2 linked regions of the Stegostoma tigrinum genome follow. The protein of the gene in region 1 purifies or fractionates together with the protein of each later gene. This does not show direct contact. Links are inferred from orthologs where the notes say so. Each region holds a gene or a part of one and is shown in the gene's direction. Other genes may lie near its edges.

Region 1 (7,431 bases):
AAACAAAAGGGCAGAGAAAGAGAGACAGTAAGAGAGAGTGGTGTAATTAGTGGAAGGTAAAGGAGGTGGACGTTGTATAAAATAGTAAAGGTCTGAAAGAGCTAATGCTGAAGAGTTTTAAGCATTGCTCGCTATGTTTTCATGTGGATTTAAGGGCAACTCAGGTTAGGATCTTGACAGTGTAAAACATAATTTCCAGGTTCTCTTCAATCTCTGAATGGCTATAGCATCAATGTAACCTTAAACAAGATGCTAACATGCAACACACAATTTCTTGTTCAATAATACAGCCTCTTCTAGTTACAGCAGAAAGTGATTTTCTTCTACCACAGCAGGCCAGATAGGCCTGAGTAGATCCCACCCCTAAGGGTTTGTGGGAGCAAACCTCCCACATGGTGAGGTGCAAGACGACAAATTGTGAAGCTGGATGAACACAGCTGGCCAAGCAGCATCTCAGGAGCACAAAAGCTGACATTTCGGGCCTAGAAGGGATGAAGGGTCTAGGCCCGAAACGTCAGCTTTTGTGCTCCTGAGATGCTGCTTGGCCTGCTGTGTTCATCCAGCTTCACACTTTGTTATCTTGGATTCTCCGGCATCTGCAGTGCCCATTATCTCTGATCACATGGTGAGGTGAAGACTTGGTTGAGCTGCACAAAGAACAGTGGAAAAGGTAAAATAAAAGAGAGAAATAGCATTAAAAAAAAATCACATATCCACATTAGCTGTTAGGACTTGGCGAAGCAAGTCATTGTGAATGATCCAGTGCATTCTCTTCCCTGCTGTTGAAATCACATTCAAGTAGGCTTTCATGGTATCTTTAAAACCGTTCTGTTGACCACCCTAGGACCTTTGACCAGTCGTGAGCTGGGAGTAGAAAGGTCATTTTGAACAAGTGTTCAGCATTCTCCTGCAATGGCCTGTCTGGAGTAGTTATCATGTAGGATTGTTCATTTCCTTGCTCACGATGCCTACTTCCTGTAGGCTGTTTATATTGCATGGTGTTATGCAGATTAGATATTCGATAGGCAGCACTGATGGTTTTGTCTCAAACTTTCCCAGGTGTCACCAATTTGTCAACCAAATTTTGCAGCCTGACGGGCGTGTTGGGAAGACAACCGCTTTATAGACTGACATTTATACCCATTGTCGAATGCAGAATTCAGAAGAATAAACTATTTTAGAGTCTTGAAAATACGGAACTTGCTACTAGCAAAGTGTAGTACATTAAGAGCATATGGCAATCACCAGTCTTAAACCTCTTTATAGCTAATTACAAAGTTTTGAACTGGAGCCAGTGTTGTAATGTGGAAAATGCTAGACAAACAATGGGAAAAGGGAATACATATATCTATGATGATAGATTGAAGACGGAAGGAGACTCAAGTGTAGCTAGTACAGACCATTTTGGTTATGTCTCCTATCTAAAAATTAAATATTTAGTGGCAACTCAAAATACTGCAACCATTGCAGACGAAAAACAGTGCCATCTGCTCCAAATTCCCCATTGATTTGTGATTATCTCGCTTTATTCCCACACTATGCTGACAAGTATCAGCAGAGACTATTTATTTTTGTATACCTTTCTTAAACCACACCCAAGTTACAAGTGCTGTATCAGCTTTCTGTTCACAGTAGTTAGCACTGATTCAAAGAATCACTCACAGCTAAATGACAGTTAACTGCCACTGAAAAAAAGTTTTTGTTGTGTTGAGGAGCTTGCAATTTCTTTTAACAGATTTTTTACAAGTCCTCAAGGTGTTGTTTGCTGGTCAATGGCTTTCTGTGAGGGTCCTCCAGGTAGTCCATGGGTAGGTCCAATCGCAAATCACTGATATGCAATGCCAGGGTTAATTGTGAGAACACACCAGAATCCACTTGTGTCATCACACAACTGGATCGGCTCCCATGTGTAGCATAAATTGTCAAAAGTGTGAGAAACAACAATATTGTTTTATATTTTATCTTGTTACAACACACCATCACAAATTTGGATTTTTAAACAATCAGAAGAACCAGGTGAACATGGAGGCCAACATAAAAATAAAGCTCCCCACCTTAAGCGAGACATTACCAAAACCAACATCAATTTTCCATAATTTTAATGCTATTTTAGGAATGGCAACTGTGTTGGGTGAAGGGTGGCGAAAGGCCAATAGGTGGCATGCAAGGTCCATTGCCATTGGAGAACCAATTAACTGAAACATTTAAACTTAATTTCCTCACATGAAGGATGTAGTGAGGTGGAACTTGCTGTCGCAGAATAACTGAACAGAACAGCATTGAATTACGCTCAGAGGTATAATGATAAGAGTGGAATAGAAGCAGGGCTGTGTGAGGGTTAATCCTGAAAGGATTATAAGGGCTAACTCCCAGAGGGGTGGGATGGGATGTTAATTAATTGGGGGAAGGGAGTGGGGGTGGGGGTGGGGAGGGGCTGTCTGAGGGTCGATCTCCAGGCGTGGGGGTTGGGAGGGGCTGCCTGAGGGTCAATCCCCAGGGTGCGTGGTGAAGCGGGTGGGTCAATCCCCGGGGTGTGTAAGGCTCACAGGGTTAATCAAAGTTGGGGGGGGGTGGTAAAGAGGGGTGGAATATGGGGCCGGGAAGGTGTGTGACAGTTAATCTGGGGGAGGTGATGGTTAGTGTAGGGGAGGGTCGCTGAGGGTTAATCCCGGGGGGAGAGGCGGAGTATTGGGGGGGAGGAGCTGTGTGAGGGTTAATCATGGGGAGGGAAAAGACTGTTGGGGGGAGAGGGCGGTTTGTGATGGTTAATCCCGTGGGTGGTGGACGGGGGAAGGAGCTGTGTGAGGGTCAATCCCCGCGGTGGTAGAGGTGCTGAGAGGGTTAATCCCCGGGAGATGGGAGGAGGGTAGGATGAACAAATTGCTCCTCTCTCGTTAACGCGCCTAATAATTATTAGAGAATAACCTACCCCCAACACTTGGTACAGATTCGGAATATTCCGCTTCAACAAGAATTTCCCTGTTGGCACAGAATGAAATGTCTTTTAAAACTAAAAAAACACCCATTCCACGAAGATTCGATTTAAAAGAAACTACAGAGTAAAATTTTGCGTGTTCGTTAAAGTAAAAATTCGTTTATCTTAAAGAGGGCGACAAAGTTTGGACTGTACCAATTTTGGTGGGGACAGAGAGACGTCTGCGATTGACTTGTATTATGTACGCGGTCCCGGCAACTGAGGGCGGGGTTTGTTGTTGAACCCCTGGCGGCGAAATGGGCGATTCCTGTGATGTGCATATTAGGCGCGAGGTTTACTGTCGCCATGGGCGACGTGAGTGGCGTGGTTTCTAGCCGTGATTGGCCGGGAGTGTTTATGATTGACATGAGGATGCCTTCTTTCCCCTACCCGCCCCCCGATGACGTCCCGGGAACCTGGGGGCGGGATTTCCTCTGAGATGGATGAGGTGTGGGAGACTGATGATTGGCGTGTAGGCGCGCTGTGCCAGTCACGGCACAGGTCAGCGTAGGCGGGATTTGTGAATGGCGGGTTGAAGTCGAGTGGCCTGTAATTGGCGGATTGTGGCGGGTATTTGGCGGGATGTGTGATTGGCCACGGCTTGTTGGGGGCAGGGCATATGATTGGCGGGTACGACCAGGGCCTGCGACTGGTCCTGGCGGATGGGGGCGGGGCTTGAGGGAGAGCGTCTTTCTCTCGAACTATATCAGAGAGGGCGATGTGGAGGGGAGGAGGGGAGGAGGGGAGGGCCGAACATGTTTTTTTAAAAAAACAATTAAAGAAATAAAATAACAAACTTTGAACATATACCCGCACTGTTCTCAGCTTGAACCCGCTAACCGGAAACCCTCAACTGTTTACCGCCCCTCCTCTATCCGAACAGTCTCGCTCTCGCCCGACTAAGCGGCGGGTTCGGGGATTGTTTTCCTTCTAGTGTCGGTGTGTTTTTTTTAAAGAAAACCAAAAAAGCAAGCAATAAACTGAAGCTGAAGGCTCATTTCTTTCCCGGAGAAAATGCAAACACGATCGGGTCGGCCCTGAAAAGTTTCCTGGAGGAACATATTTTCGCCTTCCCCCCCCCGCCTCCTCTCCTCTCCTCTCCGTGTGGTTATTGTGTTTTTTTTCTCTCTCTCTCATTTTGGAAGGGTCGGTGTTTCCAAGATGGCGCAGTGAGCGAGGCCGCCGCCATTTGCAGCCGCTTGCACCGAGCCCATCAGCGAGAAAGTCGAGAGCGAGCACCCCCGTCACCGCCGCCCCCCCTCCCCATCACCACCTCCAAGCAGCAACAACAACAACAACCTCCCCGGCCCAGCAGGCCCAGGCCCACGCCGCGCTCTCTTCCCCTCTCCCTTCCCACCCCTCCTCCACCTCACCTCTCCTCCTTACTTTCCCTCCCCCAGGCTGCTATCCCCCAACATCCCCTCCCCCCCAACATCCCCTCCCCCTCTCTCTCTCTCTCTTCCCCCCCCAATCCTCCCCACACTCTCGGCCTCTCCTCTCTCGCTCTGTGTGTGTGTGTGTGTAACCCTACCGGCAGAGCAGCGCCATGTTCAGGCTACACGGAGGAGGAGGAAGAAAAGGAGGAAGAGGAGCGACAGCGGGTGAAAAGTGAGCGAGCAACCCGGGCGGCGGACCTAACTGAAATCGAGAGAGAGAAGAGAGACAGACAGACACACACACACACACATACAGACTGAGACTGACGGGGACAAAGTCTGAAGAGGAAGCGGAGCGGACACTTTGTGGAGTGACCATTGGAGCGGCGGACTTTCCCGTGAGAACACTTAGAAGGAGCTCTCTTCCTCCCCAACCCCCCTCCCCTCCTCACCACCACCACCTCCTCCGAACCCCTCAATTCCCTCCCTCTTCCATCGTTGTATATTTAAAAAGAGAGAGAGACAGACAGACAGACAGAAAGGAAAGGCGCTGAAGAGGAGAGATAAATTTTTCTTTTTCCAGTAAAAGAAAGGGGAATAATGACCATTTCCCGCTTTCCTCAGCTGACCGCCCCGACCAGCAATGAATCTTGACTCGTTATCGCTGGCCTTGTCTCAAATCAGCTACCTTGTGGACAACCTGACCAAGAAGAATTACAAATCCAGCCAGCAGGAGATCTCTCATGTGAGTTTGCCGAGAAACAAGTCTCGCACACCATGTACTAGAGGCCCCGGGAGCCTGAGGCCTGCTTCATTTCACCGAGAAAACGAAAGTGTTATGTGTGTGAGAGAGAGGGAAACTGATGTAACAATTCTTTTTTAGAAAACAAAACGACTGTCTTTGCAAACTGGTTACTCCTTTATAATGATAAAACATCAAACAATTGTAACAATAAGAAAGTAGAAAGGCAAATACAAACTCACATGGTGAAGTCTGGGCCTACCAAAAAGTTAATGGTCACATATTGAACTTAAAATTGTTTAGCGTGTAAGAGAGGGAAAGCTCCCTCGGATATTAGCTGCTGAAACAGATGGGCAGAAAGTTTTTTTTCCACGTTTGGTAAACTTTACGCTTTGTATAAACTGCTCAAGTCGGTGCTCGTAACTAACACCTTTAGGAGTGAGGCCTAGTAAAGGGGACATCAAAAGTGGGGGAAGGGAACGAATGGAACTTGTCTGTTTCTTGTGTATGGACCTGTAGTTGAAACTAATTCTTTTCAGCAATACTTCGTACTTAACACAACTTTTTGATTTGTTAAACGTTTAATATTAAGTAATTAATCTGCAAAGATTTTAATTAGAAGTATTCAGATTAATTGACAGCTTAACAAGGTCTCATTTGGTTCCTGTTTTGTTTCAGTTTAATTAGAATTCTATTTCAATTTAACTATACTAATGTGTCTCTTAGTCAATTGAACTAGTTCATTCCCTTGTTTAACTTACAAGTTGAGAGAAACTTCTCTAGCTCATTTGTTGTGAATCACTGGACTTCAAAAGCAAATTGTTCTTTGAAAGTGTCATCTAATTGTGACTGTGACTGTTCCTTGCATTTGGAAAGTTGAGTACATGTCTGTCAACCATTGGAAGGAAGTGGGATTTGTAGAAAATACCATATAGTTGAATGGCAACTACAAAGGTGTTGAAATTTTTTGTCATGATTAAGCTGGAACAGTCGACAAAATTGAAACCTGAAACAAATGAGAAAACCACTTGAATTCAGAATTGTCTTCTTGCTTGAAGATATGTTTGAGTAGAAGGTGCAGTTTTGTAACTTATTGCTTGATCGTTATACATTAGGACAGTGAAAGACAATCGTTCTTCTTTTACAGCAAACTTTATTTGATATAATTACTGGAAATATACTCAAGGGGAGGCAATGCTCTAATGGAATTATTGCTGGACTATTAATCTGTAGACAGGTAATGTTCTGGAGACCTGGTTTCAAATCTTGCCAGGGCAAATCATGACATTTGAATTGAAGAAAACTCTGGAATTGAACTCTAATGACAATGAACCCATTGTCAATTTTTGAATAGACCGACCTGGTTCACTATTGGTTTTTTTAGGGATGGAAACTGCCATCCTTCCTTGGACTACATGTGACTCCAGACTTACAGCAATCTGGTTAACTCAGACCTGCCCTCTGGGGTAGGCAGTAAATGCTGGCTTAGCCAGCAGATGCCCTCAACCCATGAATGAATAAAAAAACTCGACCAGTATCTGTGATGAGATAGTTTGGAATCCTTGGGTATTTTTGGATTTTGTTTTGATCTTTTCAAAACAATTTGCAACTTGTTCTTGTCATAGTTTAAAATTCAACTGAGTTCTAAAACTTACTGAAGTTTTTGAACATTGAGGAAAGCAGTCAATGTGTGATCTTTAAGGAGAGAATTTACCCAGCCTTAAAAAAAAGTACTTCAGGAAGTTTAGTGACTTGCTCTGCTACAAATTTATTAATTGTATGTGAAGTTGGCTTTGCTAATTTATGATTAGTCATAGAATTATACAGCATGCAAACAGACCCTTTGGTCTGACCAGTCAAAGCTGACCATGTTCCTAAACTAAACTAACCCAGCTGCCTGCATTTGGCCCATTTCTCTCCAACCCTTTTTTATTCATGTACTTATCCAAATGTCTTAAATGTTGTAACTGTATCTGCATCCACCACTTCCTTTGGCAGTCCAGTTCCCATACTATGCCAATGTGTTTTTTAAAAAAAAAGCCCATTCTTTTTAAATCTTTCTCCTCTCATTTTAAAAATATGGTTCTGAACTCCCCCAGCCTAGGGAAAAGACTAATGCCTCTATAATTTTATAAACCTCTAAGGTCACCCTACAACTTCCTATGCATCAGCGAAAAAAGTCCCAGTCTTTTCAGCCTATTTTTTATATCTGAAACTGTCCATCCCCAGCAACATCCTGGTAAATCTTTTCTGAGCCCTCTACTGTTTAATAATATCCTTCCTATAGCAGGGCAACCAGAACTGCGCACAGTACTCCAGAAGAAGCCTCATCAACCTCC
Region 2 (7,500 bases), on another chromosome or scaffold:
GATTGATCCATAACATTTATAATCAGTTGAGGTTCATAATCTCCAGATTCCCCTTTTTGGGAAGAAATATTTATTGATTGCATCCCTGAAAGACCCAGTTTGAATTATAAGATTTTGCCCTCTTTTTCTGTACCCGCAATCCCCAGAGATATTAGTTTTTCTCTATCTGCTTGATCCCTTTATTAATTTAAAAGTCATTTAGATTACCCCTTACAATTCTAACCTCAATGAAGCATAAGCGATGCTTAGAAATCTACGCTTATAGTGTACGTCCTTAAACCTCAGTATCATTTTCCTGCATCTGTCCTGCATCCTCTCAAAGAATAAATATATCCTTCTGACATACAGTGTCCAGAGCTGAGCATAAATGGGATCTAACCAGAATCACTCTATCTCTCCTCGTCCCTCCGCAGTTGGAAAATATTGTAATTTATATTGCTCCAATCCAGACAGATGACCTCAGACTTCCCCATGTTGTGTTCCAGCTGAGTTAAACTGCCATCGTTTTTCTCACTTAGTCTGTCTACGGCCTTCACAACTTTCTGCTGCCATCCACACTGCTTGCTACTTCTTGTAAAGTCCAAAACTGGAAATGTAATTCTTCATTTCTTCATCCAAACTGGTTATATACGGTGAAAAATGGAAAACTGCTAATCAGAGAAGGTTTCCTTTAACCCTTCTGTCTATCTGCCTTTCCAAGCAATTATTAATCCACATCACAGGGTTACCTCCAATTCCATATGCTTCCAGTCTAATTAATTTGTAAAACATTATTAAATGCACTTGGACATTGATAAAAGACAGTGTCTGCATATACTCCCTGATTCACTATGCCAGTAACCTCCTCAAAAAATTCAACCAGTTCTGGTCGCCCTATTATAGGAAAGATGTGGATGCTTTGGAGAGAGTTCAGAGGAGGTTTACCAGGATGCTGCCTGGACTGGAGGGCTTATCTTATGAAGAGAGGTTGACTGAGCTCGGACTTTTTTCATTGGAGAAAAGGAGGAGGAGAGGGGATTTAATTGAGGTATACAAGATAATGAGAGGCATAGACAGAGATGATAGCCAGAGACTATTTCCCAGGGCAGAAATGGCTAACACGAGGGGTCATAGTTTTAAGCTGGTTGGAGGAAAGTATAGAGGGGTTGTCAGAGGCGGGTTCTTTACGTAGAGAGTTGTGAGAGCATGGAAAGCGTTGTCAGCAGCAGTTGTGGAAGCAAGGTCATTGGGGTCATTTAAGAGACTGCTGGACATGCATATGGTCACAGAAATTTGAGGGTGCATACATGAGGATCAATGGTCGGCACAACATCGTGGGCTGAAGGGCCTGTTCTGTGCTGTACTGTTCTATGTTCTATTAACTTGCGTTAGTCAAACACAACCTCACAAAATATTGTTGATTCTCTGATCAATTGATATTGATCCAAGACTCAATTATTCTGATCAATAAAAGGTAACCTCACCCTAATTAATGTTAACTTTACAAGTCTGTAGGTACCTGGTTTCCCTCTCTGTCATTTCTCAAATAAAGGAATGACATTTGCAATTTTCTGATCCAAAGACATAATCTAGACTTATGGAACATTACAAACTGCAACTTTCTCACTTTCTTCTTTAAACATCCTGAGGACCCAGAAAAGTGCCTTTCTTGGTTCTCATTATTCCCTCTAGATATTTAATCAGCTCAAAGTAAGTAAAAAATGAAATTATGCTAAAGGACCAACATTCACTTTTACTTCTCAATATATGTTTTTTAAAAACTTTTATCGTTAGCTTCGAGGAGTAGAGTTTTTGTATTTGCAAGTTTTTGTTTCATTCTCCTTTTTGCATTTGATTATTTGTTTGTGTAACTTTTTGGTTTTAATAGTCTTCGATCTGCTGGATTCATTTGAACACATGCTTATGTTGATATTTTAGTTTAGCTCGATGCTGTTTCGTAATTTATTAGTTGACCATTGTTGGTTAATATGACTTGTTGCTGTTTAGGGTTCTTCACTGGTTTGAATTGTACCAAATATGTGTTTAGATAATTACTATTGTTTGTCGTGTTAATAGTTCTATTACTAGACATTTTGTTTCTCATCCATTGAAGCTTGTTAATACTTAAAATGTAACAGCTCGAGATCCCTCTTTAAATTAAAGCATTTTCTCTTCATATGGTAATATAAAATAACGTTGATTTTGAATAGAATAAATGACAAGGAGATGTCAGTTGGTAGTTCATGATCAAATCTTGTCAACAGGAAGGAAAGAAATATTTGAGATAGTTTTGTTAATTTAAAGGTTAACTTTAAGGTGTAACAAGCAGCCAGCAAGACAAATGGCACATGAGGCTTAATTGCAAGGGATTAAAATATAAGGGTAAAAAAACAAGTCTTACTCCACTTAACGCAAGTGTAGACCCACCCTTGGAACTCTTGTCTTGTTTAAGAAACATTTAACTTGTCTAAGATGGATTGCAACAAAGGTGGGCAAGATTGATAGTTGGTATGAGAGGCCTTTCCTATGAGGAGAGATTCAGTGTAAAGTAGCCCATACTCTGAAGACTAAAGAATAAGATGTAATCTCAGTGAACTGTGTCACATTCTGAAAGTGCTTCACTCTAGATGCTAAGTTCCAGAGCGTGGAATCTGGGGGAACTGAAGCTAACGGGTAAGCTATTCAGGACTTAGATGCAGAGGAAATATTTCACCTAATGAGTTCTGGTAGCGTCGTCACTGAGAATATTCAACATGTCAATTAATAAATTTCTAAATATTAAAGATCTCAATGGATGCGAGGATAATGCAGGAAATGACATTGAGGTAAAATATCAATAATAAACTAATTCAAACACAGGCAAATGGGACTAGTTTGGTTTATGAAACAGGGTCTGCATGGATGAGTTGGGTCAAAGGGCCTGTTTTCACACTGTGTACCTTTAGGTCTCTGGAACATGACTCTCCTTTCTCTCTAATTGTAAGTAGCAGAGTATGCACTCTTGAATAGTTGTCATGGAACACACAATGTTGTACGGCTATAGGGGCTATTTTGGTGTTACCTTACTCTTGGGATTCCAGTTGCTAGTGAAGCCAGCAGTTTATAGCCCGTTCCCAATTCCCACTGGACTGAGTGCCTTACTGGGCTGTTTCAGAGGACAGCTAAGTGAAACACAGTGCTGTGCCCTGTTACCCAGCCCAGGTAAATGCAGGAGATTACATTCCCCAACGTACACTTGCGAACCAAATGGGTTTTTGTAACATTCTGGTAATTTCTTGATCAATATTGCCTGCAAAGCCATTGGTTCCGGGCGTTTACGCGGATTTAAATTCCCCCAAATGATTCTGTGGTGTTTTGACCCATCTCTGGAGTACATCAGTCTTGGCTATGGATCGTGAGTTCATTACCAATGCGTCCGGGGAGCACCGAGGGCCCCATTAGTGCACGTTTGCACAAGAGCAGCTTTGCAGGACAGGCAGGACACCCCTGAAGCTGCCAACTCAGCTGCGCCATTGCAGGAAAGATCAGTGCCACCCTGCTGTGCGCATGCTCCGCCACGGCCACGCCCGCCTCTTCTGATTGGATGCATCGGTCCAGGGTCTTGCGCTTGCGCACTGCCACCAGCTTTTGACTTTCAGCAGCGCCCTTGATCGGGAGCGCGCGGCTGCCCCGGTGCGAACCGCCTCAGCCAAACTCGCCGTCATTGCACCGAAATGTATATACCTGCATGTTGCAGTCCTGCTTTCCCCTCTCTACTGGACGATTACATGCTGACGCGCGCCCGGCCCGTGGGCAAGCGGTTTTGTTGTGACAGGAAACGCGCGCCCCCGTTCCTCACCAACCCCCGGCATCTTTCGTTGGGAGGTTAGAGCCAGGCACCGGCCCTAGATACCGGCGGCCAATCAGAATGCAATGCTCCCCACCGAATTCCCCGCCCCCCCACTGCCCGCTCCGACCAATCAGAGCACGGGGCATGATCAGCCGCCTGTATTTTTAGCCAGATACCAGTCACTCGGTATCCATGCGCACTCAGTGTTTATCACACACGAAGCCTATATGGACACTTTGTACCTTATGATTGTTATTTTGACGATTTCTATAATGTCAGCACTCACTAATAACGTGATTTAGATTTGCATCTCTTGGTCTTCTGGTTGAACTTTAACTGTAAACGAACTAGATCGTGTGGGGACTATTTACCAAAGCAACCATTTACGATTCTGAGGGACGCAATGATAGACATGTCTCTAGCTCAATCAAAACATTACTTTCAGAGCCCCGCCCTCCCGACCAAACGTTTAAATACCTCTGCGGCGAAAGAGGCGGGGACACGCTCGCGTTCGCCCAATCGAAACTGCGCACTGAGCCTAGGCCCCGCCTACTACCGGGACGTTATAATGATAAAGTAGTCCCGGGCATTCCCACTTCACGATGTGGCCCCGCCCCCTCCGTGCTGAGGGTCCGCGGAGGGAGCGAGGCTATAAATAGCGGTGCGCCGCGGGCCGATGGCAATGAGTTGTAAACGCTCCTGGCAGGTTGCGGGTTGTGTGCGGTGGAGGAGCGGCGCTGACCGCAACAAGAAGGAAATTACATAAAATATATGAACGTAATATATCACCTCAAAGAAAATACAAATTTTTTTACTAAAAGTTCAACAAAACAAAAACGCGACGGATTTCTCCCTCAGATTCTCCCTCATTGACTGTCCATTTAATCAGCGCCAGGAACAGCCGAGTAAGTACTAGAACCTTCTCCGCTCGCGGGCCGCACTCAGGGCGATAGATAGAGAGAGGCGACAGTGAGGCGGCTGCTACCGCAACAGGGCGGTTATCTCACTGCTGTTTAAAGTCTGCTCCTGGAGAGCGACGGTAACTGTTCCTGACGCCCCATTCTCTTTCCCCCCCCCCCCCGCTCTCTCTTCTCCCCCCCCCCGCTCTCTCTTCTTCCCCCCCCCCCGCTCTCTCTTCTTCTCCCCCCCCCCCGCTCTCTCTTCCCCCCCCCCCGCTCTCTCTTCCCCCCCCCCGCTCTCTCTTCCCCCCCCCCGCTCTCTCTTCTTCCCCCCCCCGCTCTCTCTTCTTCCCCCCCCCGCTCTCTCTTCTTCCCCCCCCCGCTCTCTCTTCCCCCCCCCCCGCTCTCTCTTCTTCCCCCCCCCGCTCTCTCTTCTTCCCCCCCCCCGCTCTCTCTTCTTCCCCCCCCCCGCTCTCTCTTCTTCCCCCCCCCGCTCTCTCTTCTTCCCCCCCCCCGCTCTCTCTTCCCCCCCCCCGCTCTCTCTTCCCCCCCCCCGCTCTCTCTTCTTCCCCCCCCCGCTCTCTCTTCTTCCCCCCCCCGCTCTCTCTTCTTCCCCCCCCCGCTCTCTCTTCCCCCCCCCCCGCTCTCTCTTCTTCCCCCCCCCGCTCTCTCTTCTTCCCCCCCCCCGCTCTCTCTTCTTCCCCCCCCCCGCTCTCTCTTCTTCCCCCCCCCCGCTCTCTCTTCTCCCCCCCCCCGCTCTCTCTTCCCCCCCCCCGCTCTCTCTTCCCCCCCCCCGCTCTCTCTTCTCCCCCCCCCCCGCTCTCTCTTCCCCCCCCCCCGCTCTCTCTTCCCCCCCCCCGCTCTCTCTTCCCCCCCCCCCGCTCTCTCTTCTCCCCCCCCCGCTCTCTCTTCCCCCCCCCCCGCTCTCTCTTCCCCCCCCCCGCTCTCTCTTCCCCCCCCCCGCTCTCTCTTCCCCCCCCCCCGCTCTCTCTTCCCCCCCCCCCGCTCTCTCTTCCCCCCCCCCCGCTCTCTCTTCTCCCCCCCCGCTCTCTCTTCTCCCCCCCCGCTCTCTCTTCTCCCCCCCCGCTCTCTCTTCTCCCCCCCCGCTCTCTCTTCTCCCCCCCCGCTCTCTCTTCTCCCCCCCCGCTCTCTCTTCTCCCCCCCCGCTCTCTCTTCTCCCCCCCGCTCTCTCTTCTCCCCCCCGCTCTCTCTTCTCCCCCCCCGCTCTCTCTTCTCCCCCCCCGCTCTCTCTTCTCCCCCCCGCTCTCTCTTCTCCCCCCCCGCTCTCTCTTCTCCCCCCCCGCTCTCTCTTCTCCCCCCCCGCTCTCTCTTCTCCCCCCCCGCTCTCTCTTCTCCCCCCCCGCTCTCTCTTCTCCCCCCCCGCTCTCTCTTCTCCCCCCCCGCTCTCTCTTCTCCCCCCCCGCTCTCTCTTCTCCCCCCCCGCTCTCTCTCCTCCCCCCCCCGCTCTCTCTCCTCCCCCCCCCCGCTCTCTCTCCTCCCCCCCCCCGCTCTCTCTCCTCCCCCCCCCCGCTCTCTCTCCTCCCCCCCCGCTCTCTCTCCTCCCCCCCCCCGCTCTCTCTCCTCCCCCCCCGCTCTCTCTCCTCCCCCCCCCGCTCTCTCTCCTCCCCCCCCGCTCTCTCTCCTCCCCCCCCCGCTCTCTCTCCTCCCCCCCCCGCTCTCTCTCCTCCCCCCCCCGCTCTCTCTCCTCCCCCCCCCGCTCTCTCTCCTCCCCCCCCGCTCTCTCTCCCCCCCCCCCGCTCTCTCTTCTCCCCCCCCCCCCGCTCTCTCTTCTCCCCCCCCCGCTCTCTCTTCTCCCCCCCCCCGCTCTCTCTTCTCCCCCCCCCGCTCTCTCTTCTCCCCCCCCCCGCTCTCTCTTCTCCCCCCCCCCGCTCTCTCTTCTCCCCCCCCCCGCTCTCTCTTCTCCCCCCCCCCCCGCTCTCTCTTCTCCCCCCCCCCCGCTCTCTCTTCTCCCCCCCCCCGCTCTCTCTTCTCCCCCCCCCCGCTCTCTCTTCTCCCCCCCCCGCTCTCTCTTCTCCCCCCCCCCGCTCTCTCTTCTCCCCCCCCCCCGCTCTCTCTTCTCCCCCCCCCCCGCTCTCTCTTCTCCCCCCCCCCCGCTCTCTCTTCTCCCCCCCCCCCGCTCTCTCTTCTCCCCTCCACCCACTTTAACCCTCCCACTCCCTTAAGACCCCCTCCTTAAGCCCTGCCCAAGCTGCCCCCACCCCCATCTCCTGAAAACCTGCAACGACCCCCCCGCCTCCTGCCCCCCCTCAAATGTCCCACCCCCCCACTCCGACTACTTCCCCCCCCCGACTACTTCCCCCCCTCTCCGACTACTCCCCCTCTCCGACTACTCCCCCTCTCCGACTACTCCCCCTCTCCGACTACTCCCCCTCTCCGACTACTCCCCCTCTCCGACTACTTCCCCCCCCCTCCGACTGCTTCCCCCCCCTCCGACTGCTTCCCCCCCCTCCGACTGCTTCCCCCCCCTCCGACTGCTTCCCCCCCCTCCGACTGCTTCCCCCCCCTCCGACTACTTCCCCCCCCTCCGACTACTTCCCCCCCCTCCGACTACTTCTCCCCCCCCTCCGACTACTTCTCCCCCCCCTCCGACTACTTCTCCCCCCCCCTCCGACTACTCCCCCCCCCTCCGACTACTCCCCCCCCCTCCGACTACTCCCCCCCCCTCCGACTACTCCCCCCCCCTCCGACTACTCCCCCCCCTCCGACTACCCCCCCCGACTACTCTCTTCCCCCCCCCCGACTACTCCCTTCCCCCCCCCCCCGACTACTCTC

The links. The genes of interacting proteins can lie anywhere in the genome.
Region 2: the proteins of cnot1 (region 1) and tob1a purify together in Homo sapiens (co-immunoprecipitation; 3 studies listed by BioGRID and IntAct, counting the BioPlex papers as one, with this or other methods). This does not show direct contact. The link is inferred for Stegostoma tigrinum from reciprocal best matches to the Homo sapiens genes CNOT1 and TOB1.

Annotation. Positions count from the first base shown.
Region 1 is NC_081369.1:4,604,342-4,611,772, forward strand, and holds the start of cnot1 (CCR4-NOT transcription complex subunit 1), read left to right. Parts: upstream 1-4,423; 5' UTR 4,424-4,582; exon of another isoform or gene 4,583-4,974; 5' UTR 4,975-4,993; coding exon 4,994-5,095; intron 5,096-7,431.
Region 2 is NC_081375.1:6,583,930-6,591,429, forward strand, and holds the start of tob1a (protein Tob1a), read left to right. Parts: upstream 1-4,483; 5' UTR 4,484-4,713; intron 4,714-7,500. UniProt on the Homo sapiens protein: Anti-proliferative protein; the function is mediated by association with deadenylase subunits of the CCR4-NOT complex. Mediates CPEB3-accelerated mRNA deadenylation by binding to CPEB3 and recruiting CNOT7 which leads to target mRNA deadenylation and decay.